4 linked regions of the Astyanax mexicanus genome follow. The protein of the gene in region 2 binds, or shares a complex with, the protein of the main gene of each other region. Links are inferred from orthologs where the notes say so. Each region holds a gene or a part of one and is shown on either strand. Other genes may lie near its edges. The genes, in order: cnot8, cnot10, cnot7 and cnot11.

Region 1 (7,411 bases), on a different chromosome or scaffold from region 2:
GAGCTCGATGCTTCAGAGCTCTCAGAGCCTTTCACTCGCGTTCCCCTGCACACTACACTTTAATAATGCATAGTGAGCTTGTTACGTAACTCTGTGGATCTGTGTGTTTATCCTTTCCGACTCGAGTCCCTCTGCTGCAAACTGAATTCTCACACTGAATTAATTCAGATCATTTCAGCTCAGTCCAGTCCAGTAGTAGTCATTCAGTTGTGCTTATTGGAGTGATTGGATAGGTATATGTATAGCCCTTAAAAAAATTGAGAGATCACTTCTTTTTCTGAATCAGTTTCTCTGATTTTGCTATTTATAGGTATATATTTGAGTAAAAATGAACATTGTTGCTTTATTCTATAAACTACGGACAACATTTCTCCCACATTCCTAATAAAAATATTGTCATTTAGAGCATTTATATGCAGAAAATGGGAAATGGCTGAAATAACCAAGATGATGCAGAGCTTTCAGACCTCAAATAATGCTAAGAAAACAAGTTCATAAAAATCAATATTTGGTGGAATAACCCTGGTTTTTGATCAAAATTTAATGCAGCTTGGAATGTTCTCCTCCACCAGTCTTACACACTGCTTTTGGATAACTTTATGCCACTCCTGTTAACAAATTTAAGCAGTTCTGCTTGGTTTGATGGCTGTGAGCATCCATCTTCCTGTTGATTATATTCCAGAGGTTTTTAATTTGGTAAAATCGAAGAAACTCAAAAGTTTTAGGTGGTCTCTTATTTTTTTTTTCCAGAGCTGTATATACCCAACTGGCAATAATAAGTAGGGATAGTCTGGAGGACAACTTGTATAAAGCACTACTCAGTTAATTTGTGTACATGTAACTACACTACATGGAATTTAGGCTCCCCCTGCTGGTCCATCCTTAGCATTTACACTAACTGATGCCCCTTTTTTCTTTCTATATTTTTTTTGGCTGTTGCCAGCAATAGGTTCCTCCTGTCTCCTTCCAGTTCTGAATTCCAAACAACCACTAATGCCTTTGTAATAATAATAATAATAATAATACTCATAATAAGCACTCGACATGCGGAATACTTTTTAAAACTACAGCCACACTCCTATATACTCCCTATTTGTACTTGGAAACTTCATGACTCAGCACCAGCCAGCTTATTTAGAAATTCCAACAAGACAAATCCTAAAGCCTTCAGTTTAAGTCCCAGCATTGCACACACGTGCATGTGGCGCCTGGTGGTAATATTCTCCGCCCAGGGACGGGTGCGTGTGTTCAGAACCCGTTTCTGCTCTCCTTGGGTGACCTTTTTCTTGCAGAAAGAACTGGACACGTGCCTTTGACCCCTGTGAACTCCAACTAAATTAGTTTCCCCACTATACTGTTGTTTCCTTTGCCTTGCACCTTGAGATATAAAAGAAAAGACAAAGACAAAACCAGCAAATACTGTCCCAGTCAGCACCTTTCCATTCAGAACAAGGCCCATTGGAAAGAATTGAGTTGAGTCTGAAAGCTTTACATTTAACCAAATATCTCTAATGCCTCTAGTTTGAGCTTTTTTATTTAAAAAAACAAACAAACTAATAAATAATGAGCACCAGCATTCTCAATCATCTCCCAGCTCAGGCTTATGAGAGTTCAGAGAGTAAGGCCCAGACTTCTGGGAAGTTTTTCTTTTCTTTTTTTTCTAAATCCATTCTCGCTTGGCATTCTGTTTTGCCCCTTTTTTTCACACAAGCTGCGTTCCAAATTCAAGGCTGTGTTCCGTGGTGGGGTGCATTTTTTTTTTAGCCACTATACGTCATAGAAGGCTCCTTTGTATACAGCTAAGATATGCACCTGACATTCAGGATGATTTGAAGGACACAACTGATGTATCCTTCATTATAGCCAACAGTCACCCACAAATCAATGCATACATTCAGCAAAAATTGCAAAAATGGTGGGAAATATAGACTCTTGAGCAGAGTTAGCTTTAAATTCAGAAAGTAATTCTTTAGAAAACACTCCTACTGAGGATCTACCCTACTTTGACTGCAGCCTATAGTTTGGAACGCAGCTACAGATTGTAGATTAGACTAAGTTACTGATTGCTCTAGGCTCATTTGTGTAGGCTTCTCCAGATCCACTGGTTCAGTACACGAAGTTACTACCACTGCACACCTGGCCCAGGGCCTTTAAGCTACGGTACAAACGAAAGCATGAAACTGAAGCCTTTTGGAAAAATCTTAATCCTTTACGTATTTTTGTTTTGTGGAATGTCCGTCTGTTTGAAGAGTTTGGAGACGAATGTGAGGATAGAAATGTTTCCCTTTAAACAACCTGCACTGTTGTTAGCAGCTGAATGTGAATTGTTACATGGAAACACTACACTCTAGTTTTCTGTAGTGAACTGGAAGAAGAACAGCACACGGTTAAAATAAATAAAGTGGCAGCCTGTGGAGGATGAGCGACCCTTCCGATCGACTAGGTGCTCTTTTTACTCTCTGATCCAAGGCTCTGACACGTCGCTTATCTAACACTCTGTATGTGTTTTTATGTTCTGTTGACTGTGCGGTCATTGTAATCATGTGCAAATCATGTAGGACTCGCTTTAGATAACCATGAGATTAAACAAGAAAAAAAAAAGAGAAACAAATCACCATCAGTAACTGATGCTGGTAGTGATGACTGATTTGTCGTTCATGTAGACTTACAATAGGATTCTTGTTTTCAGAGCGTATTTTTGATTCTTTTTAAATCGGACGTTTCAGTGCTGATGGAAGAAGAACTTGGTCTTTCCACAGAGGCGGATTGGAGAAAATACAGCATGTATTTATTGCACTTTTGTGATTTGGGTGTGCTGTTTTTCTTTTCTTGTGAGACTTACGAAAGCTGTGAATTTTATCATCAACACTGTACTGTCAACGAAAATTGTAAATATGTCACCAGCACAAGAATATGTTTTGTAGTTTCACAACAAATATAAAAAAAAGTTCTTTTCTTCTAATCCCCAGTCTGTCTGTCTTTTTTTTCCTTGAGTGCGAGTTTCCTGAGTTTACATCCAGATTAAGCATCTTAATAGAAGTATACATACACTAAATATAGTATTGTCCCATGGATGTAAAGAATACTGCTCCTGCACTAAATGTGGATATGAATCAGTTGTCTATTTCCACAGACATTTCTATCCAGATGCCACCAGTCACAATAATTATCCCCTATTGCATTGTCCACTGTGGGTGGTAATGCCTTCTATGATATTTTCCCAGCACACCTGCAACATTGCAAAACTTCAGAAATGCAATAAACTGTCATCGATTATCAGGCCCTGTATGTTGCCTTGCCATGAGCACACTGACCAGTGTTTGTCCCTCACAATATAACACCTCACAGACAGAAACAACACAGAAATAACATTTTATGATCAGTTTACATACTGCTCTCTTAAGTCTTTTGTCCGTGCATGTCAGCGTATAAAAATAAATGACATCTCATTAATTGAATTCATGATTTTTTTAATTCAGTCCGGTCCCATTGCCACAGATGTAGCAAACCTGGGTATTTGAGCCACCACTGCATATTCATCCATAATAATAACTATGGATTTAGAATACTATCTTACAAAAGGATAAATTATGTTTAATTCATACATCAGGAGTTATAGTAGCTAAGTAGCTAAAAAAAAATAACCCAATGTCTAGATAAGACCTGTTTAAAAGAAGAGCTAAGGAGCATGCCTAATGGACAGGCCTTAACTTTGGTCTTGTGTTATCAGTGTAACCTGAGATATATTTTTCAATAAACAACATGTCTCCAGGTTTACATAATTTGTCCAAAAAAAGCTTTGGGAAAAAATAAGAGACCATTTAAAAAGTTTATTTGATTTTACCAAATTGAAAACCATAATCAAGAGGAAGATGGGCATCACAAGTCATCAAACCAATCTGAACTGCTTGAATTTTTGCAACAGGAGTGGCATAAAGTTATGTAAAAGCAGTGTGTAAAACTGGTGGAGAACATGCCAAGACGCATGAAAACTGTGAACCAGGGTTATTCGACCAAATATTGATTTCTGAACTCAAAACTTTATGAATATAATTATTATTATTATTTTATTAATATTGTATTCTTTTTCTAATTGTGGATATTTTTTGCTTTGTTATTAATCTGAAGCCCAAATACTAAATGTGACAAAATAATAGTAGCTAAATTATAAAACCAATTTTAATCATATGGTTGTATTAGGAATAAAAAGCAATAATTATAAATTAAAAAAGTTATTTGTATTTGAAAAGTCAAGTGTATTTTTTTATATTTATATATATTTGTATTAATTTATTTAAGCGTATTTTCATTTTTATATTAATATTTGTTTGTGTTTATTTATTTAGACGTATTTTAATTGTTATATTTATATATGTTTTATTATTTATTTATTTATTTAAATGTATTTTGTGTGTTTCCGTGCTCTTAAGGCTTCCTGCTCCCGCAGCCCGTGTTCAGTGCTGGAGCGCTAGTAGCTGCTTTATCCGCCGAGCCTCAGCGCAGCAGAACTCCTGCCAGGTAAGCGAGCCGGACAGCGGGCTTCACACCTGCTCTACCTGCGGTTAACTTCAGGTTCCTGTTTTCTGGAGTTTATATTATTATCTGTTCGCGGTATTGTTTAGTGTGTGTTTGTGTATTGAAGCGTATCTAGGCAGCTAGTTAGCTTAGCTCACTTGTTTGCTAACGCTAGCTTAGCTACAGCAAACTTAGGCAGTCTGTGGTGTGAAATAGTATTAGTGGGCTAGAAGCTAAGCTAAGCTAATCAGAGGTGCGTTAGCTTGTTGGCTAGAGGGGGTAGAGTGTTTCATAACAGTAGGTTAGTTAGGTTAGCTTAGCTCCTTGTATTTGCCAGTATCTTAGCTTTTATCCTGTAGCCATATAATTAAAATTATATTTAAATACGTAGTTACTCTTTGTTCCTACCTGGCTAGAGCTACAGTACAAGCTAGCTAGGTAGCTAACTACGTAGCTTGACTAGCTAGCTAGGTTAGCTAGCTTCGTGAGCTATGTGAGCTGCCTCTTCAGTGTGTTGAACTATATTGTTTTTTTTTGTGGGTAAAACGTATTAATTTCTCAGCACCGTGTTGTTCACACAGTTTATGCACTTGCATAAAGGCAAAGCCAGCTTTCTCTAACCTACTTTCACACTTTTAAGTAGTGGTTTTAGCGTTAGGTAGCTAGATTATTTTAACAAGCTGTATTAGCTAACAGGGCATCTATCTAGCTTTGCTATGTTGTTTGAGCTTGGAGCTGAACTCAGGTGCGTTTCTTTCCAGAGTTCCAGTTTGCTTCTACCTGCCTGTGGCCGCTTTGGACTCGCCTGGGTGCTTGGTTGCTTCCTCAGCCTGCAACAATGCCAGCCGCACTTGCAGATACTAGTCAAATTATCTGCGAGGTCTGGGCCAGCAACGTGGAAGAGGAGATGAGGAAGATACGACAGATCATTCAAAATTACAACTACATCGCTATGGTATGTAATTTTTTCTCTGTGTGTTTTTTTTTTTAATAAATTCTGTATTTTGTTGTAAATCACACAGGCCTACTCAGTGTGGGCTCCATTACACTATAATGCTGTTCCTGTTTTGGTTGAAAGTGGTCATTGTAGCTTTTAAAAATCTTCTGGTTACAACAGGTTGTAAGTTTGAGTTTGTCCATACAGTAGACGACTTTGAAAAGACTTTTAACAGACTAAAGTCTGACCCCTCTCACATCTAAAGATAACTCTCACACTGTTTACTCAAAAACTGAGATTTTACAAGATCTGGGGATCACTATCTGCAAGACTGCAACTAGATTTTTTCTGAGATCATTTCCCATCAGGCTTCTGGTGGAGTTCACATACAATACCTATTACATATTAAGTTATAGATAATGTGTGTATCAATACTGTGGTTTATCAGAGACTCACAACTTTGTTTTAGATAGAATTAATGCGGTAAAGAACGTAATTCTTGCAAAATGTTTATTTATTGAACTTGTTTGTATCAAAAATAACACTGCACGATAAGATGAAGTAGTGCAAAATAAAACAATTTAAAATACAGTGTGCAGTTTTAAAGGGTTTAAAATACTGTACATATTAAAGTAAGATATATGTTTGTCGCTTTGATAAATGAAAGTCGCTTTGGACAAAAGCGGCTGCCAAATGTAATGTAGTGTAATGTAATGTAATGTTTGTAAGTATATTATAAAAAATATGTGTGTGTATGTATGTATGTGTGTGTGTGTCTGTGTGTGTGTTTGTGTGTGTGTTTGTGTGTGTGTGTGTTTGTGTGTGTGTCTGTGTGTGTGTGTGTGTGTGTGTGTGTGTGTGTGTGTGTGTGTGTGTGTGTGTATATATGTGTATATGTATGTATGTATAAAAATGTACGTAAAATATTCTTGACTTGCGGCTTCCCCTAGCTCTCCTGTTGGTTGTTGACATTGTTCACGTCACTATTTGCGTGAGCCAAGTCTAAGATAATATTAAACACGGTTGATTTTATCTGAGCACCAGAATGCAAAAAAGACTGACTAAAACTTTCAACTCTAACCACCTTACACTGAACGATTGAGATGACGAAATCGCAACTCGACTCTAGCAAAACTCTAATGATTTTATCACGACTCTGGGAATTTGTATGCGACAGTGAAATGAGGTCGACATAAGTTAGAGTTGCATAAAAGAATGGACGTTCATCCTAAAACCTGGTTTAATTTCTCTCTTCTTCACCAGGACACAGAGTTTCCCGGAGTGGTGGTCCGACCCATCGGAGAATTCCGCAGCACAGTGGACTACCAGTATCAGCTCCTGCGGTGTAATGTGGATCTGCTGAAAATCATTCAGCTTGGTCTAACTTTCATGAATGAAGATGGCGACTATCCACCCGGAACAACAACTTGGCAGTTCAACTTTAAATTCAATTTAACGTAAGTGTTGGTTATCCTTGTTTTGAGGTGACTTAGTTCAGGTCAATACAGGGCCTGTATTGTAAAGTCCTATTTAGAGAGCTTGGAGGGGAGTAAGCCTGGGATGCCAGATTTCACTGCTGAATCCTTACTGATTATGTCTGGGCTCCATGTTTGAGTTAAATGTTGCTAATCAGATCATAAACAGCCACAGCAGCCTAGTTATTAGGTGGAGGAATTTAAAGTTTGGATAAACCATTACACTAATTACCTCTCTCTGTTTTTTTAAATAGAGAAGACATGTACTCTCAGGACTCAATAGATCTTCTGCAGAACTCTGGTCTTCAGTTTAAGAAGCATGAGGAAGAGGGAATCGACACGCTGTACTTTGCAGAGCTCCTGATGACTTCAGGCTTAGTTCTGTGTGAAAATGTCAAGTGGCTCTCCTTTCATAGGTGACGAACATGAAGGAATTCTTCTTCTCAAATCTTTTATTTTTTTGCTAGTATTGTTTGATTTCTCT
Region 2 (7,473 bases):
AAGAATACAGTGACTGTGAAACATTGCTATCAGGAATGTACAAGTGTTTTATTCTGTATACTTAGTTTTCTTTTGACTTCTTTCTTTTTCAACTGTATTCTTATACTCTTAATATGAATTACTGGACACTAATACACACAAACAGGAACAAAGTTTCCTAGAACAAATAATGTTAGTTTTTTGTTTGAGAAATTAAATCAAAATTCAGAAACATACCAAACGGTTCCAGGAACTGGTAGAGCTTTTCCCCAATAGATATGGCTTCAGAGTACTGCCGCATGTGGTAGTGAATGATGGCTTGATTGTAGTAGAGGATGCTGTTTTCTACATCATCTAAACCATCAATGTCTTCCACCGCAGTATGAACCTACAAATAAAAAGATAGAAAACCATCAGAAAACAGGCTTAAGAAAAACAAGGCCCTGTTTTTGAACATTTTTAATTGAAAATGTAAAAGTATTTCCTCACCTGATTTTTTATTGTCATTAACGTCTGCTTCAACGTGCCAGTGGTTGCTTGCCCACTTTTGTAGAACTCAGCAACAGCTTTGTTCAGGGCTATCTTATAGTCCTCCTTGTTCAGTTCCTGAAGACTTTCGAGTTGTTTTAAGGAATCATCGTAGTTGCCGGCCTAAGGGGACAAGAGCAATACAGTAAAGAGTAATGAACAAAGTACAGGTAATACTTCACAACATATGTAAGGAATCCCTGCTAAAAATATCAAACATAAAAATCCACCTCAAGACCAGCTGAGGGGAAAGAAAGAAAAAAAAAACAGCATATCCTATGCTGGTAGGCTAGCTTGTTTACTAGCTCTTAAGTGGCATGCAGTATGTTTTTTTCTGGATTACCAGGTGTTTTTGAGCTGTATTTTTAAGCAGGAATGAGTGTTAAATATAAATGTAAAAGTTCAATACCGTAAATGCTTCAAAAGCATTCGTGGCCATCTCCTTCTCTTGGTCTGAAATTCCAGGGGAAGAAGCGTTGTCATGTTTCATGTCACCAACTTGGTCTTGAAAAAGAATAAAATTTAAAAGCAGTTAATTGGAATGTTTGACTTAAACAGACACAGCAGAACTAAAACCTCTAAATGCTTAAGAGCTAATGATTAAACATGTTCTCCTTGTACAGGTTTGTTGTGTCGTTTGCTGCTTCTAGCTCTGCACTGTCGAGTTCACCATAGGCTTTTTGATACATCAATACATGTTTAAATTTAAGATTTACTGCTGCATAGAGAAAATACCATATACCTTGTATGCAGTATCTCAAGACAAGTACCACCACTAATACTAATAATAATGTTATTATTAGCAGTAGTAGCACTAGAAGTAGTTGTAGTAGTAGCTTCATCACCTTACCCAAAGTATTATTTAAATACAAAAATATTATTTTAATAAATTATAAATCATTTGCTTATTGCTCAGACATACAGCACTAACATTTTGCACAATTTCTGTACCTTAAAAACTGACCATTATATCTATAAAAAGTTTGAACTTGGTGGAATACTTATGTTTAAAGGATGGAGAGCAAGGACAGGAGTTTTTCCTTGCCACTGTGTCACCATAAAATTGGCATCTCTGTGGTGCTGCTCATAAGAGGCGTGGACCTGTTTTTCCTGTAAAGCGGCTTTGTGACAACCTTTGTTGTAAAAAGCGCTATATAAATAAAATTGAACTGAATTGAATTGAAGGACAGATATAAAAAAAAAGAAGATTTTATGAAATAAATGTTTGTCAGTGGTGTAAAGCGTGGTCTCTACACTGTAAAAAAATATGTGTATTTGTTAATTAAATAGGGTAGGCAAATTAAGCTAAAGCTTCAACCTATACCTTTTCAGTCTATATGTGATTTCTTTAAATGCAGGACTTGTGTTTATTCTATTTTTCTTTCTTTTTTATCTTTTTTTTTTCTTATGTGATTATACATTTTGCAAAACCGTAATAACCTAAACTAAGACTAAAAAGTGTAAAACAAAAATTATATGTTCATATAATACTACATATTTAGTATTTAGATAGCTGATTAAAACGATAATAATATATTTTTTAATAAATTAATAAATCAGTTTTAGACTGATTTCACTTTAATTAATGGTGAAATCAGCGCCACCTACAGGCGAAACCTCTGCTCTGCAGGAGAATTTAAGGTGGACGGGAAAACCCGCATAGGAATGCAAGACTTAGCCTCGATTAAATTCGATTAAATCTCTACACATTTACATATTTAGCTTATATTCATTTCACAAGTAAATGATTTAATAATTTAGTTCATTTTAATGCAGATACTTAAAATAAAGCGCTTTTAACGATTTTGTGAAGGGCAAAATGAGTGAGAGTCAGGTTAGGGGGTTAGCTAACTAGCGATACTGACGATACTCTCAAATACTTAGCTAAGCTAACTAGTTCGGTCACAAATCGTTATATTATAGCGGAATAAACATATGAAACTTTACATTCTACTTCTCGTCCACTGCTAAAGGACTGAAACTGTTAATTTAGCTACTGTGCAAGGTTGCTATGGTACCTAGCTATTTAGGTTAGCTAGCTAGTTAGCATGTTGGCTTAGCTTAGCCTAGCCTTGCTAGCTGCCCTCTCTGTGTGCTGCAGTGTTTATACTGTTCACAGCTGATTGTGCTGCTGCTGACTTTAACTGAATACAGAAGAGAAACTGGTGGTTAAATTTCACAACAGCGCTGATCTACTAGTCTGACAGGGACAGGTAAATATTCAGCGAGCAGTCTAGCTAAGTTAGCTAACTGCGGTAGACAGATAAGTTACCCTTTCCCTGGGTGCTGATAAATAAACCCAGCTTACCTGAGCCGCTCTCAGCCATGTCCTGCCAGTGATTCTCTGGTATGAATTAACGCGTGTTAATTCCAGTGATCAGACTCTCACACACAGATCCTCTCCGTTTATCTAACTTATATATAGATCCAGCACAGGGTTCATCAGTGCGTAGCCGCTGCTACTGCTCTGCTTTCGCTTCATCCAGGATTTTTGTAATGAGAATTAGAGCACAAGCTGCTGCAGTCCGCCATCCGCCGGTGTGGAGGAGGAGAAACACTGAGTGATCATTTGGAGAGAATGATAGGATGGAAGAAGACTCTAAGAGTGAACTCTAGATGTCGACAGATCCGAGTTTACCCCCAAACACAAACAGCCTGACGGTCCTTCTCTTCCTGGTAGGAGTTTTGCTGTCCATACACTACACGACTTTGAAAAGACTCTCAAAGCATTACATTACATTTGGCAGACAATAGTGAAGTACAAAAGTAATAGAAGTTAAAGGTAAAAACAACTTTAGACAGGGCCTAAAGGAGATTAAAGGGAAATAATGGGATATAGGAGTAGAGGAGGAGAAGAAGGAAATGAGGTTAGAAGTAGTTAGTCAAGTAGTTAGTCAAAAGACTTTTAACAGACTAAATTCTGACACCCTCTCACATCTAAAGACTAGTCAGACCTTTTAGTCACAGGATAAGATTTTGCAAAGACTGGATATCATTATTTGCAAGACTGCATCTAGATTATCTTTAAGTTTATTTCCTATCATACTTCTAGTGGAATTTACATACAATACATATTACATATTACATTAAAAATAATGTGTATATCATTACTGTGATTTATCAGACTCACAACTTTTGTCCCCATCAACAGTTTATTTTTCTACCACACTGATAGTTCTTGATATTTTTTAATAGAATACAAAATGTAGAAAAATATGCTTTGTAAATGTTTCCTCACTATCTCTGCCCAGACTTAATTCTCTATTTTTGGCAAACTTGATTTTTTTGCCTACATCATCTCCTCATGATGCTCTTTGACCACCTGTTTTAAAAATTGCCTGCACGCTCATTTGTTCAAATCATTTGACTTTACGACTTTAGGATAATGGCCTATATCAAGAGTGTGACTTTTAAGCTAAGCTAATTTATTATACCCAAGTCAAAATAAAACGTAACTGTAATAGCTTTCATTCACTAAACTAAGTTCCACGATTGGTAGATAGTAGTTAGCTAACCTTAGGTTAAATGTTACCTGTTAAGCTAGCAAGTCAGAGCCTTAGCTAGAACATTTAACTTAAATGGCCACAATTTTACCCTAAATGTAAATCATAATTCAATTTATACATTCATAAACCCTAATAAACATTATAGCTAACAAGTCTAGCACTGTCACTCTGCAAAACAATGCTAACCTAGTACACTGGATATAACTAGCTAACTAGCTTATAGTTTTTGTCTGAATGTGAATATTTTATTATATAGTTATGTAATTTAAAGAAGAGATGTGGAGCCTGCAATAAATGTACTTAGTTAACCATTAGGCAGTTTTTTTTAAAGAAAACTTTAAATACACCTTATTTTCCATTTTGTCAGCTATTCTTATCAAATAGGAGCATTTATATAATTCTATAATTACAGACTGTAGTAAACCTGTTTCTAGACAGGTGAAGAACAGTTAGATACAAAAATATTACATAAACCAAGCATAAGTGTACTGATTTGTGTAGGCATTCTGTTTTCTCAAATGGCTTAAGAAATAGTTCATATCCTGTATATAGGAAAATACATCTATTGAGGCGAGCATGGTCCTATACATTTAGGTTAAACTCTGGATTTTTTTAACATCTGGCTCATATCTTGGTTCTGTCTCCACCAAGATAGGCAGATGACCCAACAGAGTGGTTTAATTCAAGCCCTGAGCTGTTTGTAATTTTAAAGTAGTTTTTAAAATAGGTAACTATGTAACTTTTACTCAAAGTACATTTTAAATTGAGTACTGTTTACTTTTACTCAAGTAGATTTTTAGATGGGTACTTTTACTTTTACTTGAGTAGAATTTTAGCAAAGTAACAGTACTTTTACTTAATTACAATTTTTCAGTACTTTTTCCACCTCTGGCAAGACCACATATCTTCGTAAAATAATGCCCACCTTTAGATTTGGGAGTTTAATACCCACTCTGGCCAGATGCCAGCGCTGTACTGAGAAGAGTTTAGAGAGTTTGTGTGCAGCATGTTTAGACCATCTAAAGGGGAAAAAAACAATGTTGTTTTTGTGTTTCATACTTCTTAATTAGCTGGCGGTCGTATTTTGTTAAATCTGGATTTATGCTCGTATATATCAAAACAGGGATAAAACAAATTTGATTTAGGATACTATGTCAAAATTAGGTCAAGTACTATGTCAGGATACTATTTCAAGTTTCATATTTCTGTCACAAACATAGAACAACATAGGTTACTCTACAAAAGCATTACAAGGATAATTTTGTCAGTGTAATTGAAGACATGTCTATACAGTCTGAATAATATATATTTTCCAATGAATGAATTTAGATTTAGTAATATTTAATAATTTAAACCATTGTAAAGTTTTAACAGCAATGGATATTAATTGATAGTAATGTAAAGTTTAGGTGCCTACAAATCAGCCAGTAAGTATGTAAACATAAAATACAATGAACACCACCTTTAACACAGGTACTGATGGCACAAAGGGCAGCCATCTACAAGCATCAGGTATGTGTCACTCCACAGGAGCCCTGTGTTAAAAGAAAAGTGTGTGTCTCTCAGTGTAAAAAAACACTGCTGCCACGTCCTCCTGCGAGAGACACTCTCTACCGCAGTGTTTATTTTCCTCTTTGACTTCAATTAGTCTAATTGAGCCTAGTACCTAGAGAGCTTGAAAATGTCTCACTAATTGACACCAGGAGGGAGCGAAAAAGAGAGAGAGAAGTTTGAGAGGAAGAGGGATGATTGATTGCCTGGGAGCGTGTCTGGTTATTCTGAGGCTTCGTAACTATGACAGATCCATCTCTCCAGGCCTGCAGAAAATTGGAGCATTCCGACAATATGACTCATTATCCTCCGTCATTTTTAGAAAAGTTAGCCTGGCCGTGGCAGAATTCAGACAGACCAAAAGGTTCTAAACTACCAAAAGACCAAACAGATGATTACTTGGCTTGTTTATTCGCTTTGATAATATGATGCATGAAAGGCCTCTGCTGGTGCAATAAACATTTCCAGTGTGATTAAGAGCAGCAAGCACATTTATTTCTTTCAGGATTTTATAAGGTAGCAACATGTGAGGTGGGGATTTAAGCAGAACACTAATAAACACTAATAAAACCTTTTGAAGATGGTTCTTTATTATACATTTAAAAAGTAGTTCTATATCCTCCTCAGACATGGCAAGTCCATTTATGCAATCTGTTTGAATTCTATAGTACAAATAACCTGAATATTCAGGTCAATCATTAAAATATTTAAACTACATGTTTTAATGATTGTCTCTGTAGTGAAAAAATAGGGCTTACTACATTATTTCTTTTACTCAGTGTCCATACTTAGGAAGCATGAATTGTTAACATGATACACATTAGAATTAATACAATGCCAATACATTCTCAGACAGTACCTGTTCCATGCTACAAGGGTGATATAATAGAGAATAAACATCATTTGTAATGTTCTTATTTTCTAACACTGTTTTGGTCTTATGATTTAAGTTTTTATTTATTATTATTATTTTTTTTGTATTCTTAAGTCCAGTGTTTTTTCTGATTTCCTCTTTCATGGAGTCACAAGGCTGCTCAAGTTGAACGTGGCTCACACCTGAAAAGTTCAGCTAGTGTCAATTAATTTATGTTTAAACACTTGCATATGTTGGAACAGTGCGCTGTTCTTGTCCTCAATGATCCTTATATACCTTTTAGGCCAAGGAAGATTACATTTTAATAGACCTGACATTTTAAGTTTTATGTTTGATCTAAACACATATAAATTCAATAGCACTGTGTTGTGTAATGCCAGACTAGCTCTTAACTGTTTAAATGTAGGCATGAGGGTTGTGGTGGGGGGCTGTGTCTTTACTGTTTGTAATATACAATCAAGACAATTAGGCTTTGTTACTTGTGTAGACGAGGAAGTCGTTATGGAGTCATTGAAAGGCTTTTATTGGGCTCAGAGGGCACTGAGAAAGAGCAGAAACAAATTAAGTTATAGAGCTGATCCCTGGCCTTTAGCAGAGAGTGTTCTGTTAAATACACAGCTGCTTGGAGACGAACACCATCACTCAACTGCCACAGCTTCTGTCTGTGTAAATCACTGATTGCCTAAAGTGTAGGAGCAGTTGAGTGATTTGATAAACCAGGAGGAGGAGAATGTGGATCAGCGTTACAGAGTAATTTGGTGATACAGGCTCCTTTATCTTCGTTATACTCTGGTTAGACAATAAGAATTGTGGCATTTAAGATGTGCGGAATCTGCATCTCATAGATTTGTGTCTTTTCATTAGACATAATCAGTAAGAGCAACCTGATCTAATAAAATAGTTGAGGCAGTTTTAATAAGTGAATTTTCGTAAAGCTTGATGTTATATCTAAATACTTTATGTGTAAAAGTATATTGTTCATCCTCCAGTCTAAAGTCCATTTCTTGTGGAACTGCTGCTGCGTGGTGGGAAATG
Region 3 (6,949 bases), on a different chromosome or scaffold from region 2:
ATGGCTGAAATAACAAAAAAAAGCAGAGCTTTCAGACCTTTATATTTATATTCATTACGTTTTATTAAGAGTTCAGAAATCAGTATTTGGTGGAATAACCCTGGTTTTTAATCATAGTTATTATGCATCTTGGCATGTTCTCCTCCACCAGTCTTACACACTGCTTTTGGATAACTTTATGCCTTTACTCCTGGTGTAAAAATTCAAGCAGTTCAGTTTGGTTTGATGGCTTGTGATCATCCATCTTCCTCTTGATTATATTCCAGAGGTTTTAAGTTTTTACAGAGCTGTATTTAGTTATGGTAGTATATTCTTTACAATAATAATTGGACAACAGCAGTGAGGGTTTCAGTGCAGAGGTAACAGACCCCACACATATTTGGACTGCTGTCTCTGTTGCCATTATAATAAAAGGCTTGTGTCGCAACCACTCAGTATTTCTAAGGACATGACCAAACATATATTTTGTTATGGTAATATATTCTTAAAAATACTTATACATTTTTCAGAATTTTGCCATACCATATCATACCAAGAAAATTGTTCTCACAAAAATACACTAAAATATTGTAATATCATGTTATGGCCTTATCGTCCACCCCTAAAGGGAATTCAGTATTTTTTCTTAGGTTGCAGTGATTTGAAGCTTTTTGTTAAACGACTGAATTGTGTGTCTTGTTGCAGAAACTCGCTGCCCTGGGTAAAGAGCAGGTGAACGGTGTGTGTGTGAATAAGCATACAGTTAATCAGAGCCAGGCTCTCTGGGCTCAGCCAGCACACATAAGCCTGGCCAACACGCCTCAGGATTACAACGAAGGAATTTTAGGGAGCAGTCCTAAAGATTGGTCCCTCCAGCAGAAGGAGACTGAGAGCACGGGGCTCGGCCTGTTTGGAGTCACTCCAAAAACCTCAGACCCCGACAACAGCGATCAGGAGTCCGGAGTGGCCGACTTCAGCGGTCACTCCTCCAGCGGCGGGGATTCATTTCCGAGTGAAGACAGTGTAAAGGACGCTGATTTAGATGAAGCTGCTTTTAATACTGTCTAAAAACGTGATCTATAATAAATGAAAGCCATAGCATTCCCATTGGGGCCTGTGCAATCATGCTACATACTACATGCTCCATTTCAAATGCATAAACATGCATAATCAAATGTATTTATTGTTGCCGGTGTAACAAAGGGAAGTGTTGATTTATTTATTACAATATTTATGACATTATTTCATTTTGTATGTGCATGAAATGATTTGCAGTTGTAAACCCGCATGTCACAGCGTAGCAACATGCATTTTAGTGATGTGTGACACAGATGTGTGATATGTGTGGCAGTGTAAACAGAAAAAACACACTGAATCTGATATTATTATTTCCAAGATCAGAATTCATGCAATTTTTACATAAAGGAAAAGGAAAAAAGAGCTGTGAGGACAAAGGAAAATGGACAACAGCATTGAGTAAGGGGTTTCAGTTGTGAGGACAAGACCTCACAAAAGTTTGGACTGATGTCTCTGTTCCCATAATACTAAACACGTGTCACAACCTCCCAGTCTTTCAAAGGACATTCCCAATGAGCCAAAGAGTTTCAATGGTTCTTTAAGTGAACATTCCCTAGTTAGAAAGAACAGCACAAGTACAATTATGTCAGTCTGCAACTGTGCTGTGTTGGTGAATCTGTGCTCACTGCAGCCTCAGCTTTCTGTTCTTGGCTGACAAAAGTGGAAATATTTTTCGTTTTACAGAATGGTTATCTGGGTTATTCTTAATAACTCAATAACTGGCAAAGTAATATCGAATGGGTGCATTAATTGACAAAGTGGCGAACAACAAATTGAGTTAAAATTTTCCGTATGCAAATTAATTTCAACAAGATAAAGCGATATTCACAATAGCCTGACAATTTTTTTCATAAGCCCTATCCAGACGGGATTCGTTTTTCAGGGGGTCCTGGGGTAATTTTCTCTTTTGATTTTTTTCTCTGTGATTTTTTCCCCCCGGAATGACTGTATGTGGTTTTCTCAGACGTCCTCTGATACAATTACAGTCAGAATTACCTGTTTTTGCTGAACTCCGGTAATTTTAGTCCCGTCCGGATGCACATCTCTGAGTTTCGTCACCTCTCATTTAATAAACTAGTTGAGTATAAGTGTGAAATATTTTTTCACAGATGTCCCCTGAGAAGCGAATCCCGTCCAGATAGGTCTATACATGCTCTTCTATCTGAACATTTGGTTCTGACCAGCATTTCATTCTTATTTTTTTACAATGTTTTTCTGAACAGGAAAGAAAATCATAGTTGTTTCTCATTTCCCCTTGTTATGATGCAAATCTGCACATTTACAGGGACAGTCTGAAGAAAAATAAAATAAAGCGAGAGAGAAATTAGCAGATACTGTTGGTTTCTCTGGTTGGTTGGTCAGTTGATACGTAGCTTGCTAGATTAGCCAGCATGTTAACAAACTATACTAACACCTGTTAACACCCACACACAACAACACAAGCTGCCTCAAACACACCCAAAAGAGACCAACTTGGGGCAGCGTGAGCGACTTGTTCTTTGCCAGTGTGAATACAGGATTATGGTAGCCAGGGTTATGGTAGCCTTTCTGTCGTCTTGAACCATCTTGAACCAGCATTCTCTGTTGACCTCTCTCATCAGTTTTTTTTTTTTTTTTCTCACAGCTCATAATCTATGATCATAGGCCAAAGATGCTTCACTTCACACCATAACAACCTACAGTCTGAACACACACTATAAAAGTATTACTGAGAACAAAAGAATAATAAATAATAAAGACAATATATGAGCAGCATATTATAAAGCACACTAGATGGTCATTGTGGAAACTGCTGGAACTTATCTTCACACTGGTTTATTCAGATGATGTTGGGCATTAATTCTCTCATATACAGTAATTGAAAATATGCATGAAAAAATGCAGTGTAAGCATTATATACATTTCCCTGTGGATGCTGAGAGGTAACTCTCTGTTCTCACACTTACATTACTAGTGCAATTGTACCTAAACAATAAATAAAAATAAATAAAGTTTACATGTGACCTCACCCTCTTTGGTTAGGCATTTGTTTATTTCTATTATATATATATTGGGAAACTGCAAACATATACACTACCAGTCAAAAGTTTTAGAACACCCCCATATTTTCCCTGTATTTTTGCCATTTAAACTGGCAGGGCCTTTAAGAAAAACAAATTAACAAATATACATATAAATATATATATATTGCAAAAGCATATTTTTAAAAAAAAATTTACCAGACAATTGATTGGTTAACAGCTCACAGCTCTTATTAACTGAGCTTTGAAAATGTCAATTTAGAAATCCTTTGTCTGTAGTAAAGTCATTATTTTGAGATACTATGTCATTATGTTTAAATACTACGTTGTAATTATGAGCTGCTACCTTTTTATTTTGAGAAACTAAGTCATTACTTTGAGATACTAGCATATTTTCATATAAACACGTAGTATCTCTTAATTGTGACTTAATATTTTAAAATAAAAACATAGAATGTTAAAATAAAGACTTAATATCTGAAAATAATGACTTAATAATTCAAAATAATGACTTAGGATCAAACATTATAAACATGATGTCACCTTAGGGGCTCCGTACCTTTTTCGCAGCCCCTGATGTATGGAAGCCCATTCCCGCCACCTAAACAAATGGGCTTCCACACTGATGTGATGTGACATTATGTAAAAAATATATATATATTAAAAAAAATAAAATAAAATGTGTGGCCCTAAGAGGTGGCCATGGCTTCTTACAGAGTGGGAACAGAATAATTAAGTCCTGGCAATATCCTCTCCAGGCACTCCCTTAATTAACTAGGGTTGTAGCCACGCAATAGGATCTCGTTCTAACGCTTTAATAAGACGTGGCCACGCATTATTATTATATATATATTTTTCCATCCTAAAGCTGCTGCACCGTTTTATACCCCTGTTTGAAGCCGCGCCGCTGCTGGACTGACTCCAGACTCCGTGACGCTCCAAGGTCAGTGGCGCTCGTATCCCGGTGTCGTCACGCGGTGCGCGGCGGCGGCGGCGGCGGGTTGTAATGGAGCCCGAGGGGCGGCAGCTGGCTGCTGATGTCGGGGTTAGATTAATAAACTGTGTGGCGGGTTTGGTGGAGCTGAGACCCCAGTGTTGGTGAGAGTGTGAGCGGGACAGCCGCGTGCTGCTGAAGCAGCCAGTGCATATGAGTGTACTATAATAGAGGAGAGAGAGAAAGAGAGAGGGAGAGAGGGAGGTAAGTAAGTGACTGAGAGAGAGAGAGAGAGAGAGAGAGAGAGAGAGAGAGAGAGAGAGAGAGAGAGAGAGAGAGAGAGAGAGAGAGAGAGAGAGGGGGAGAGCTGGAGAAGACCTGCAGCACAAAGTTAAGGGGCTACAGCTAGTTAGCTAGCTGCTGTGTGGGGCTAACAGCTCCTATTAGGATTCGCTAGCATGCAGGAGGGAGCCTCGTTAGCTTAGTTTAGCTTAGCAAGCCGGTGTCTAACGTGACAGATATAATATACCAACACCAGGCTGTCCTGCTGCACAGCTTTCTGACTGGCAGGCAGGTGTCAGGTTCTGTCGGCTGTTTGTTTGTGGGTGTAGTTTGGTGTGGCAGCTAGCCTAGCCTAGCCTGTGGCTGTTAGCTTAGCTAGGTTAGCTGCCTTTAGGTAACAGTTAGTCACCTGGTTTGTTTGGGGGCGGTAGCTTATCTTTGTGTTAACTAGCTGTTTAAATATGTGTTTGTTAGCTCACTAGCTTTTTGGTAGCTTTGTTCTGTGGTCATAATAATCTGGTTTAGGTTGATATGAGGTAGATAAATTAAGCTACAAGGTAAGTTAGCTAACTAGTTAGTTAACTAGCTAGATAACTATTTAACTGGTTAGTTTTTCGTTTGTTAAATGACTAACTAGTTAGTTAATCTAACTATTTGACTATTAACCTAACTCATTTTTAGTAGCTAGGCTTTTATTATTAGCTAGCTGTTTAAACCTATATAAGTTAGCTGTTTAAGTAACTTATGTGTATGTTAGATGGCTAGATTAGATAGCCTTGTTTTGTGTTAGTTAGCAAACAAAAGTAACTGCTTTCTGGTTAGACAACACAGACCATAATGATCTGATTTTAGGTTGGTCCGAGGTAGATAGATTCAGCTGCAAGGTTAACTTAAATTGTCAGCTAGTTAATTAACTAGTTGGTTACTAAACTACCTAGCAGGTAAGCCATACCATACTTGGCTAACCAACCTAGTAAACTTAATTCTTATTTAAGTTGCAGTAAAGTAGGGCTAGGCGATTTGATAAACACATTACTTTAGTTATGTCACTGTATTTACAAATAAGCCCTTTTTTCAATACACAATATTTATCTTGATATAATCACATAATCCCAGTAAAAATTTGGGATGCACCAATATGGGAACTTTGGGTAACTAAGCTTTGTGTTTAGATCCAATTATTAGCTAGCTGTTTAAATGAGGTACTAGATTCATTAGCCAGGTACTAGGTTCAGATGAGGTCATGGTATGGCTTACGTGCTAGCTAGTTAGGTTAATTTACTAGCTAGTTATTTAGCAAAGAAAAATAACTGCTTTCTTGCTATGGTATGAAGTAGATAAATTCAGCTGCAAGTTAGTTACCTAACTAACAGACTTACTAACTACATAACTAGCTAATTAACTAGTTAGTTAACCTAAATGACTAGGTAGTTAGTTGACTATACAGTTAACTAACTAACTCGTTAACTAGTTTATAACCCTAAATGACTAGCTAGTTAATTGACTACATGGTTAGCTAACTAACTTACCAACTAGTTAGTTAACCTAAGGGCACTAAAGGGCACCCAGGTCATTTGTTGTGTCGCATTCTGTGCTATAAATGTGAATGGACAGATAGAGTATTCCGCTCACTATTTCTTTTGACTGAAGGTTGTATCTAGCATATTGTAAGTTAGCATTCAGTGTCACACTTTTGCTCATTTTCTAAAAGTCTAATATATGTCCTCCTTTTTTGCACAGGTGTAAATAAAGAATTAGACCCAAAATTCTACGAAATTGTCCCCAAGGGAGCATTTGTTTCATTTTTTGATGCCTTCCATTTGAAAGTGGCACTATGCCCGCAGCCACTGTGGATCATAGCCAAAGAATATGTGAGGTGTGGGCTAGTAACCTGGATGAGGAGCTGAAGAGGATTCGGCAGGTCATCCGAAAATACAGTTACATTGCAATGGTGAGCCTTGTTTTGTTTCGCCATATACCATTTACTTAAAATCTGCAGTGTTTCAGTTAATCTGATTTGTTAATTTTCTGTGTTTGTAGGACACAGAGTTTCCAGGTGTAGTTGCGAGGCCGATTGGAGAGTTTAGAAGCAATGCAGACTATCAGTACCAGTTACTGCGGTGTAACGTTGATTTGTTAAAGATTATCCAGCTTGGCCTTACCTTTATGAATGAACAAGGGGAGTATCCCCCAGGAACTTCAACATGGCAGTTTAACTTCAAATTTAACCTCACGTAAGTGCAGTATTTCTTGTGTGAATATACTACACTTTAATTCAATGTCTTGTCATATTGCCAAGAGTATTGGTATTGTGAAAATACCCTACCAATATCATGATAATATTGAGGTAAAGATGTGAACAGAAAAAGTGTAAAACAAACTGAAATATGGTTTATACTTTAGATTCTTCAAAGTAACACTTTTTGCTTTGATGCATGCTTTCCCCACTCTTGGCATTATTCTCTCAGTCAGCTTCATGAGGTAGAGCCTTGAATGGTTCTCCAACTGTCTTAAAGGAGTTGCTAGAGGTGCTGAGCTCTTGATAACTGCTTTTTACTTCCCTCTGTGCTCCAACTCGTCCCAAACCACTTGGGTAGTATATCTGGTTCTTATATCAGGTGTTTGAGAAGGATGAACACTTTTGTTTTGTCTAGTA
Region 4 (6,880 bases), on a different chromosome or scaffold from region 2:
GAGAGTGCCATCTACTGTACTGTACCCACCCAGAGAGAGAGCAAGGACAACTGTGCTCTCTCAGGACTCCAGCAGCTGATGGCAAGCTGCATGACCGGGATTTGAACCAGTTCTAAAAACTAAGCATGCCCTTACGTTTTAGGTCAGAATATGAACATGCAGTAGTGTGCAGGGATACTGCTGCATTACCTGCGTTTGCTGTGCTGCAGACAGAGGGCTTTTAAAAGCTTTGGCCATGATGCGCTTGATCTCCACGCCCGTGCCGTTCCGCACACACATGGATCGGTCCCACTGCACGCGGTGCTCCGGCTCGCACGGGTTCAGCCACGCCAGCTCGTCCTCGCACACCAGCAGCGGAGGAGCCGGCCGGATGAACTCGGGACGAAAGTGACCTGAGAGGAAGAGCAGAGACACGTCTTACAGAATTCATCCTTCAGAATGCATTATTTTATTATTCATAAAATAAAACTGCCTCCAACTTAAATTAAACTACTTTACAGGATCCTGCGATACTCACTCTCCAGTGGAGGGCGTGGTCCAGTGACCAGAGACTCTATAATCTGATTGGCCACAGAGCTGTCAAAGCCAGAGTTGGAGGAGTCGGGGTCAGGGTCGCTGAGCAGGCTGGGAAAACTGGCTTTACTCTGAGTAGGAAGCTCAGACTGGCGCTCTGGAACACACAACATTTTTGTTGAATTTTATACAACAGTTATTAGAATAAAAAGACTTCTAATATACTGTTTATACATAACAATTTTTGACCAACATACACTACGTTGGTGCACTACTTAAATCTTTTCAAGATTCTGGCAGTTTTATGGTACATCACAGTATTTTTTATTCTAATTTATATTTTTGCTTGACTTTTATATAGGTGACTTATTCTACTGTCAGGAGTATGTATAATACAAAACAATAAGGCTTTAATTACTACAGGGTTTATAACCATGTATTTTTACCAGCGAGAGCGAGCTGCAGGCCGCTAATGTCGATGGCCTGAGGTGCCGTGCCCACGTCCATGCAGGAAACCTGCCGCGGCGTCTTCTTAAACAGTTCCCGCGGAGGAGCGAGCATCAGCTGAGACAGGAAAAACTTCTCCGGCAGTGTGATGGGTGGGAGGAAACCTGAAAAAAATAATTATATTTAACATTGTGTAAATGACTTACTACAGTGTTTCCCAAAACAAATCACGCAGGTTAGCTTTTACAGCTCCAGCTGCACAAAGTACTCCATACTCTTTAATCAATACTTCATTTATCAATAGTATTCACACCTAAAACTGCAGGTTAATGAGGTAGTTAACAAATATTAGTTTGTTGGTTTATCCTGTGATCACATACATGGGCTGTATCTCTCTATACTGTGTTACAGTGTGTTCTCAAACAGTAAATCAGAAAGTGCAGCTCCTTAAACTCAGTATAAATCTGAATCCTACCTGACAGAGGTTTCTCCTGCTCCTCACCAGAAACAGATGGATTAAGAAGATGAGCAAAGACCGCAGCAAACGGGTTCGCAGCGAGTGGCTCGGTGCGGTACATCTCCCACAGCAGGTACAGAGCAGTGAGACGCTGAGGAGAACTGGGCAGCAGATCTGGCTGCTGGAGCAGCATCACCAGAACCGAGCCGACCCGGAAGTGCTCAGCCTTCCCGAAGCAGTGATGGAAGGCATTAGAGAGGCTCTCGAAGGTGTTTCCACACGCCTCCTCCGAGATGATGCCCAGCAGGTTGGACAGCTCTTTGGGGGCGAGGGTCATGATTTCACTCTGGCAAATCGATCACCACTGTTACAATAAAACAAGAAATAAAACAATAAAATTATTGATGTTATAATTATTGCTATAATTTTAAGTAAAAAAAAAGATAAAAAATAATAATAAACAAAGGAATAATCAAATTATTAACAAATTATCATCATTATAACTGATCCATCTGTTTGAAAGTTGTTTTTAGTTTTTAAGTTTATGTATTGTTGGGCTTAATACAAAATATACATCTCAGAAGTGACAGTTTATATACTATTGGAATAAACCTGAATTAATATACAGTCAGTGGTTATTTCTGTTACAGAGGTGGACCAATGTAGTGTTAGTTTAGGAGTCTAGCCCAAGGACTCTTATTGGTGTAGAGCAGCATTCTGAAGTCACCCAGACCAGATGGTAGCTTACTGGCAGTGGGTTGTGTTATCCACTGCACCACACCAACCACGGTGTTCGGTTATATAAGCAAAGTGTAACTTGATTAGTGTTAGGTTAATACTTTTATTTTCTAACCATTATTTAGCCATTATCCTATTATAGATAAAAACTAATGCAGTTAGGGTTAAATAACATTTTATCAAATCAATAATCGATTAATCGGAAAATAATCGGCAATGATTAATCTATAATCGAAATAATTGTTAGTCCTATCGGAATAGTTAACTAGTTCACCAGTCACACATCTACCGGTATCCTGTCAGAGAGAACTGAAGGGGTTAAACTATGTTAGTTTTTGGTGCTTAACTTAAATTATGCCCACAGTAATCAGCTATTTAGCGTCATTATATAACTAAATTACAGACAGAATATTAATCTAACGATAGATAACCATAATCTGCCCAATACAGGAAACATCACTGTTTAAGATTTAGATAAGAAATATACGTTACCCATATGTGTGCATTTTATAAACTCATGCATTTGTATTAAAATTAAACACATTAAACTAACAATTAATAAATTATCCCTGTTTTACGGAAAATAAAATTAAATCGATTTTGAGACCGAATCTGTATGAAATCGCTAATCTAACCCTCCCTGAATAACTTACCTTAAACCCGGGGTTCATTAAGACCTGGAGCTTTCTGAGATCTCTCTGATCTTCATTTATAAAACTAAAACAGGAATAAACATCAGAAATAAAGATAAATCTCTCAAAAAGAGTAAAAAACTGTCCATAAACAACAAAATAACTCCCAACACTTCCAAACCCGGGGACGGGTCTTCTTCTCTCTCCGGGTCACCGCGCGACACAGACCGGCTGGAGCTGCAGTACCGCCGCCTACTGACCCGGAGTCTGAACCAAGACATAAATATATATATACGTTTAAACTTAAATGAGCTGATATATTTATTTACTGATTTTATTTTCATTTTTATAGTGTAGAGGGATTCATATTTAGTTTTTTTATTAATCAACTGTTAATCCATTAGTGTGATTTGTTCTTTAAATGGACATATGGAATATTATATTGGCTAAAACAACTGTATAATAAACAAGCAATTAATTCGACGTTAAAAACTCATTATCTTAAACAATCAGTCAAACTATATTATATTGTAATATATTTATATATATATACTCTTTATTTATCCTCATGGGGAAATTCTGGAAAAGTTATGTCAGAAGTGGGATTTGAACCCACGCCTCCATTCGGAGACCAGAATCCTCTGATTACAGGAAGGTCTGAACCTTGAGTCTGGCGCCTTAGACCGCTCGGCCATCCTGACACTGATGGGACACGTTGATTACCTGAGAACTAATGTTACCTGTCAAGGTGTCAGGCTATTGATCAAACTATTGAAGGTTATTTTCAAAGAACTGTGAGTTTAAAAATATATATTTGTGTTACATTAATTTATATCAGCTATGTGTATTAATATCGGTGATGTTTATTAATGAATTATTATTAATTATTGTAATAATGTATGTGATGTTTATTTTTATTTAATTATTGTTTTTCTATTATTTTAGATTGAAAAGTATTGAAAATAATACATTCACACCTGTACATTTAATAGTTAAATAAAAAAAACAATGAAACTCCCGGCAGATTAGACGTTGTGTCGTAGGGCATTATGGGACTTGTAGTCTGGATTGTTTTAGTCAACTATTATTCAGCCCTTAAACACTAAATACAAATACAAACTTTGAATCTTCGGGTTCAGAATATTCATCCAGTTTAATGTTATAATGTATTATTATATTTTTATCGATATTATGAAGATTAAAGTGTTTAAAATGTGATTATAGCTGTGGAGCGGTGACCCGGATGTAGAGTTTGTATTACCCAGAAGCCCGTTCTCCTTCCTTTCCGAGGCTCGTCCTGAACAGTGAGTACCTCAGAGCCGAGCTCTGCTCTTAATCCAGCTCCATCCGCGCAGATTAAACACTTAATCTGCCGCAAATTCATATATTACAGTTCTAACAAAGCTAAAGTATCACTACAGTTATATTTGGGGCGGTTTTGGGTGGGAAAAAGTTGTGTTTGCGCCGATAATGTGAAGGATAGTTGTGTAGCCGGTTAGCTGTTAGCTAGTGGCGAGTGAACGCTGCGGACGGAGATAAACGTGTTGTTTTGGGTTTATATTGGAGAAAAGCTGTCTTAATTAAAATTCAGTTTAAATGTAGAATTCGCGTTAAGTTAGTGAGTTAACTCACTCTGGTTAAAGGATGCGTTATTGGCTGTGAAATGAGTAAAAAGTGACGGGTCCGTGTGAGGGACAGTTCTCCAAAAATGTGGTTTGTTCCTTTTCCTTATCCGCAGTATTTATATTCAGAGTTTAAAATTTGCTGCTTTAATTTAGGTAACTGTCGGAACAACAGATAGTTAACAAGATAGTTAACAAGAACTAAAAGTAAGAGTGAGTCACATATATCCTAAGAGATGCTAGTATTGCATGATTTAACAGTGTAGAAATGGAACATAAAAAAATGCTTTACAAATTACAGCACAGTGGTTCCTGATTAGGATAGTGTTGTGCATTCTGATCTGCTTTGAGTCTAAAAGTAAACATTTCATGCATTTGGTGGCTCACATCTGTACTAACTTTAACATTTGGGGGTCCATTGATGGTCCATTATTGATGCTTTGTAGATGCTTAACCTAATAATGCACATAACCCTAATCCAATATCCTAAGTTTTTGGCAAATGTTAGCAGTGAGTATTAAAAGTTCAGTTGCATTTAACAGATATTCAGTTTAATATGTTTAGTTTAATGTCAGTTGAGCAAGTATTAATGTGAAATCTTTAATGGACACAACAAGTAAAATGATAACTTTTGTTCAATAACAATATAAAGTGCAGCACTTAGTGAAGAGACCAAGCAGGTCTTGAATAAGTACTAAGAAACTAAAGTTTTTCCATTTTTAGTGATCCTTTCTTATTTTTTATAGTTAAGTATAATTGGGGTTAGTAGTGCATTTCTTTAGTCTTCGTTTAAGTGAATATTGCATATCTGAAGAGCATCCTGATAATGCAGCTAAACAAGTTCATTAAGTCAATGGGTCATAAAAAGAAGCTGCGTTATTAAACATAGTGGGAGAATATTGAGTATAATAAGGTGGCTGATGTACAAGCTGAACCAGTGCACGTTATTTAATATTTATAAATGATTCATGTGTTACAGATGGCACCACTAAAGAAAGGAGGAGAGAAAAAGAAGGGGCGTTCTGCCATCAACGAGGTGGTGACCAGGGAGTACACCATCAACGTCCACAAACGCATTCATGGCATGTGAGTAACGTGACGTAATGTCCTGTTTAATGGGTTTTAGACGCTGTCAGTAGGCAGTAAGAGGTGTTTGAGTTTGTAAGTGATTTAAAGGCATTAGATGAAGATGAATCTGTAGCATCATACAGTTCTGTACGTGCTGCACATGTTCTAAAAGAACTGTTTTTTTTTTCACCACAGCTCTTTCAAGAAGAGGGCACCTCGTGCTATTAAAGAAATCAGAAAGTTCGCCATGAAGGAGATGGGCACCCCAGACGTCCGCATCGACACACGTCTGAACAAGGCAGTTTGGGCCAAAGGAGTCAGGTAACCACCTCCTATTAAATCATCAAAATTGGGATAGAGATCAGGGGTGGGGAAAACAGCTGTGTGTTAACTGTTATAGATTGTGTTCAGCGTGTTGCTCTACCAGTGCCAAAAGAGGTTGAAAGTGTTGAACTGAGTCCAGTTTTTGTTTGGTAAATTGGTGACGACGTCAGGACAGTTCCTTTAACTCATGAAGAAGCCTCCAGAGAAACCAGAATGAAAACAGGGAATCTGTCCTCTGGTTGGAAGCTGTAGAACAACAAATAAATGGAGATGCACGATGTGGGAATTTTGGTCAATGCTGTATGATGTTACATGTGTTTTTATGCTGATATGCATATTTATAAATTATAAATTTATACATATTCCTGTAGTCTGTCACAAAAAAAAACACCTTTCTTAAATGTAATCAGCCCAAATTCTGGGAAATTCCAGAATGGTGATAAATAAAACACTGGTAGGAGTGTGGTGTAATTTTGTTAATGCTATTCTCAGTATAATTCAGTGATTTTGTTTGTCCTTTCAGGAACGTCCCGTACCGCATGCGCGTGCGTCTCTCCAGGAAACGTAATGAAGACGAAGATTCTCCCAACAAACTGTACACCCTCGTCACATACGTTCCAGTCACCACGTACAAAGGTGAGATTCAGCTGTGGAGAACATCTCAGACTGCGTTAACTCCAGCCTGTGTAGATTTTAAAGCAAAGTGTGCACCAAAAGTTGAGGAGTCGTTAATTAAATCACTTTTATTGAAGAGGATTAAGTTATCTAGATAAAAGTAGAAATCCTGCTGTAAGGCAGTTTTTACTGGTGAGGTTTGATGCATGTTTGATTTCAGCAGGAGATAACGCCATGCTTTTTGTGGAGGGATTTAGGATTTATTTTTGTTAAATCTCCAGAACTCACTAATGCAGATGTTTTTTTCAGCTGTTTGTTTATTCAGACTGTGTGGATATAGCATTGTGTGGAAAAGACACAAGTCTCAGGCTCTTAAGATTAGTACTGTTGATAAATAGTAAAATTAGATTAGCTGTAGTGTGCAACCTGCTGGACATTTTAGATTGCATTAAAGCTAAAACCAC

The links.
Region 1: cnot10 (region 2) and cnot8 share a complex: the UniProt entries of both Homo sapiens proteins name them as parts of the CCR4-NOT complex. The link is inferred for Astyanax mexicanus from reciprocal best matches to the Homo sapiens genes CNOT10 and CNOT8.
Region 3: cnot10 (region 2) and cnot7 share a complex: the UniProt entries of both Homo sapiens proteins name them as parts of the CCR4-NOT complex. The link is inferred for Astyanax mexicanus from reciprocal best matches to the Homo sapiens genes CNOT10 and CNOT7.
Region 4: cnot10 (region 2) and cnot11 share a complex: the UniProt entries of both Homo sapiens proteins name them as parts of the CCR4-NOT complex. The link is inferred for Astyanax mexicanus from reciprocal best matches to the Homo sapiens genes CNOT10 and CNOT11.

What each region holds. Positions count from the first base shown.
Region 1 is NC_064424.1:17,742,774-17,750,184, forward strand, and holds the start of cnot8 (CCR4-NOT transcription complex subunit 8), read left to right. Parts: upstream 1-4,387; 5' UTR 4,388-4,518; intron 4,519-5,276; 5' UTR 5,277-5,353; coding exon 5,354-5,470; intron 5,471-6,715; coding exon 6,716-6,909; intron 6,910-7,181; coding exon 7,182-7,343; intron 7,344-7,411. UniProt on the Homo sapiens protein: Has 3'-5' poly(A) exoribonuclease activity for synthetic poly(A) RNA substrate. Its function seems to be partially redundant with that of CNOT7.
Region 2 is NC_064413.1:37,975,317-37,982,789, forward strand, and holds the start of cnot10 (CCR4-NOT transcription complex subunit 10), read right to left. Parts: upstream 3,026-7,473; 5' UTR 2,835-3,025; coding exon 2,816-2,834; intron 1,012-2,815; coding exon 917-1,011; intron 631-916; coding exon 469-630; intron 368-468; coding exon 217-367; intron 1-216. UniProt on the Homo sapiens protein: Component of the CCR4-NOT complex which is one of the major cellular mRNA deadenylases and is linked to various cellular processes including bulk mRNA degradation, miRNA-mediated repression, translational repression during translational initiation and general transcription regulation.
Region 3 is NC_064417.1:45,486,970-45,493,918, forward strand, and holds the start of cnot7 (CCR4-NOT transcription complex subunit 7), read left to right. Parts: upstream 1-3,943; 5' UTR 3,944-4,020; intron 4,021-4,051; exon of another isoform or gene 4,052-4,275; intron 4,276-4,588; exon of another isoform or gene 4,589-4,850; intron 4,851-4,877; exon of another isoform or gene 4,878-6,033; 5' UTR 6,034-6,127; coding exon 6,128-6,244; intron 6,245-6,333; coding exon 6,334-6,527; intron 6,528-6,949. Other genes in the region: mtmr7a (myotubularin-related protein 7a), read left to right, coding at 685-1,047. UniProt on the Homo sapiens protein: Has 3'-5' poly(A) exoribonuclease activity for synthetic poly(A) RNA substrate. Its function seems to be partially redundant with that of CNOT8.
Region 4 is NC_064418.1:327,369-334,248, forward strand, and holds the start of cnot11 (CCR4-NOT transcription complex subunit 11), read right to left. Parts: upstream 3,019-6,880; 5' UTR 2,809-3,018; intron 1,782-2,808; 5' UTR 1,755-1,781; coding exon 1,436-1,754; intron 1,125-1,435; coding exon 960-1,124; intron 671-959; coding exon 518-670; intron 393-517; coding exon 190-392; intron 1-189. Other genes in the region: rpl31 (60S ribosomal protein L31), read left to right, coding at 5,389-5,495, 5,673-5,798, 6,325-6,437. UniProt on the Homo sapiens protein: Component of the CCR4-NOT complex which is one of the major cellular mRNA deadenylases and is linked to various cellular processes including bulk mRNA degradation, miRNA-mediated repression, translational repression during translational initiation and general transcription regulation.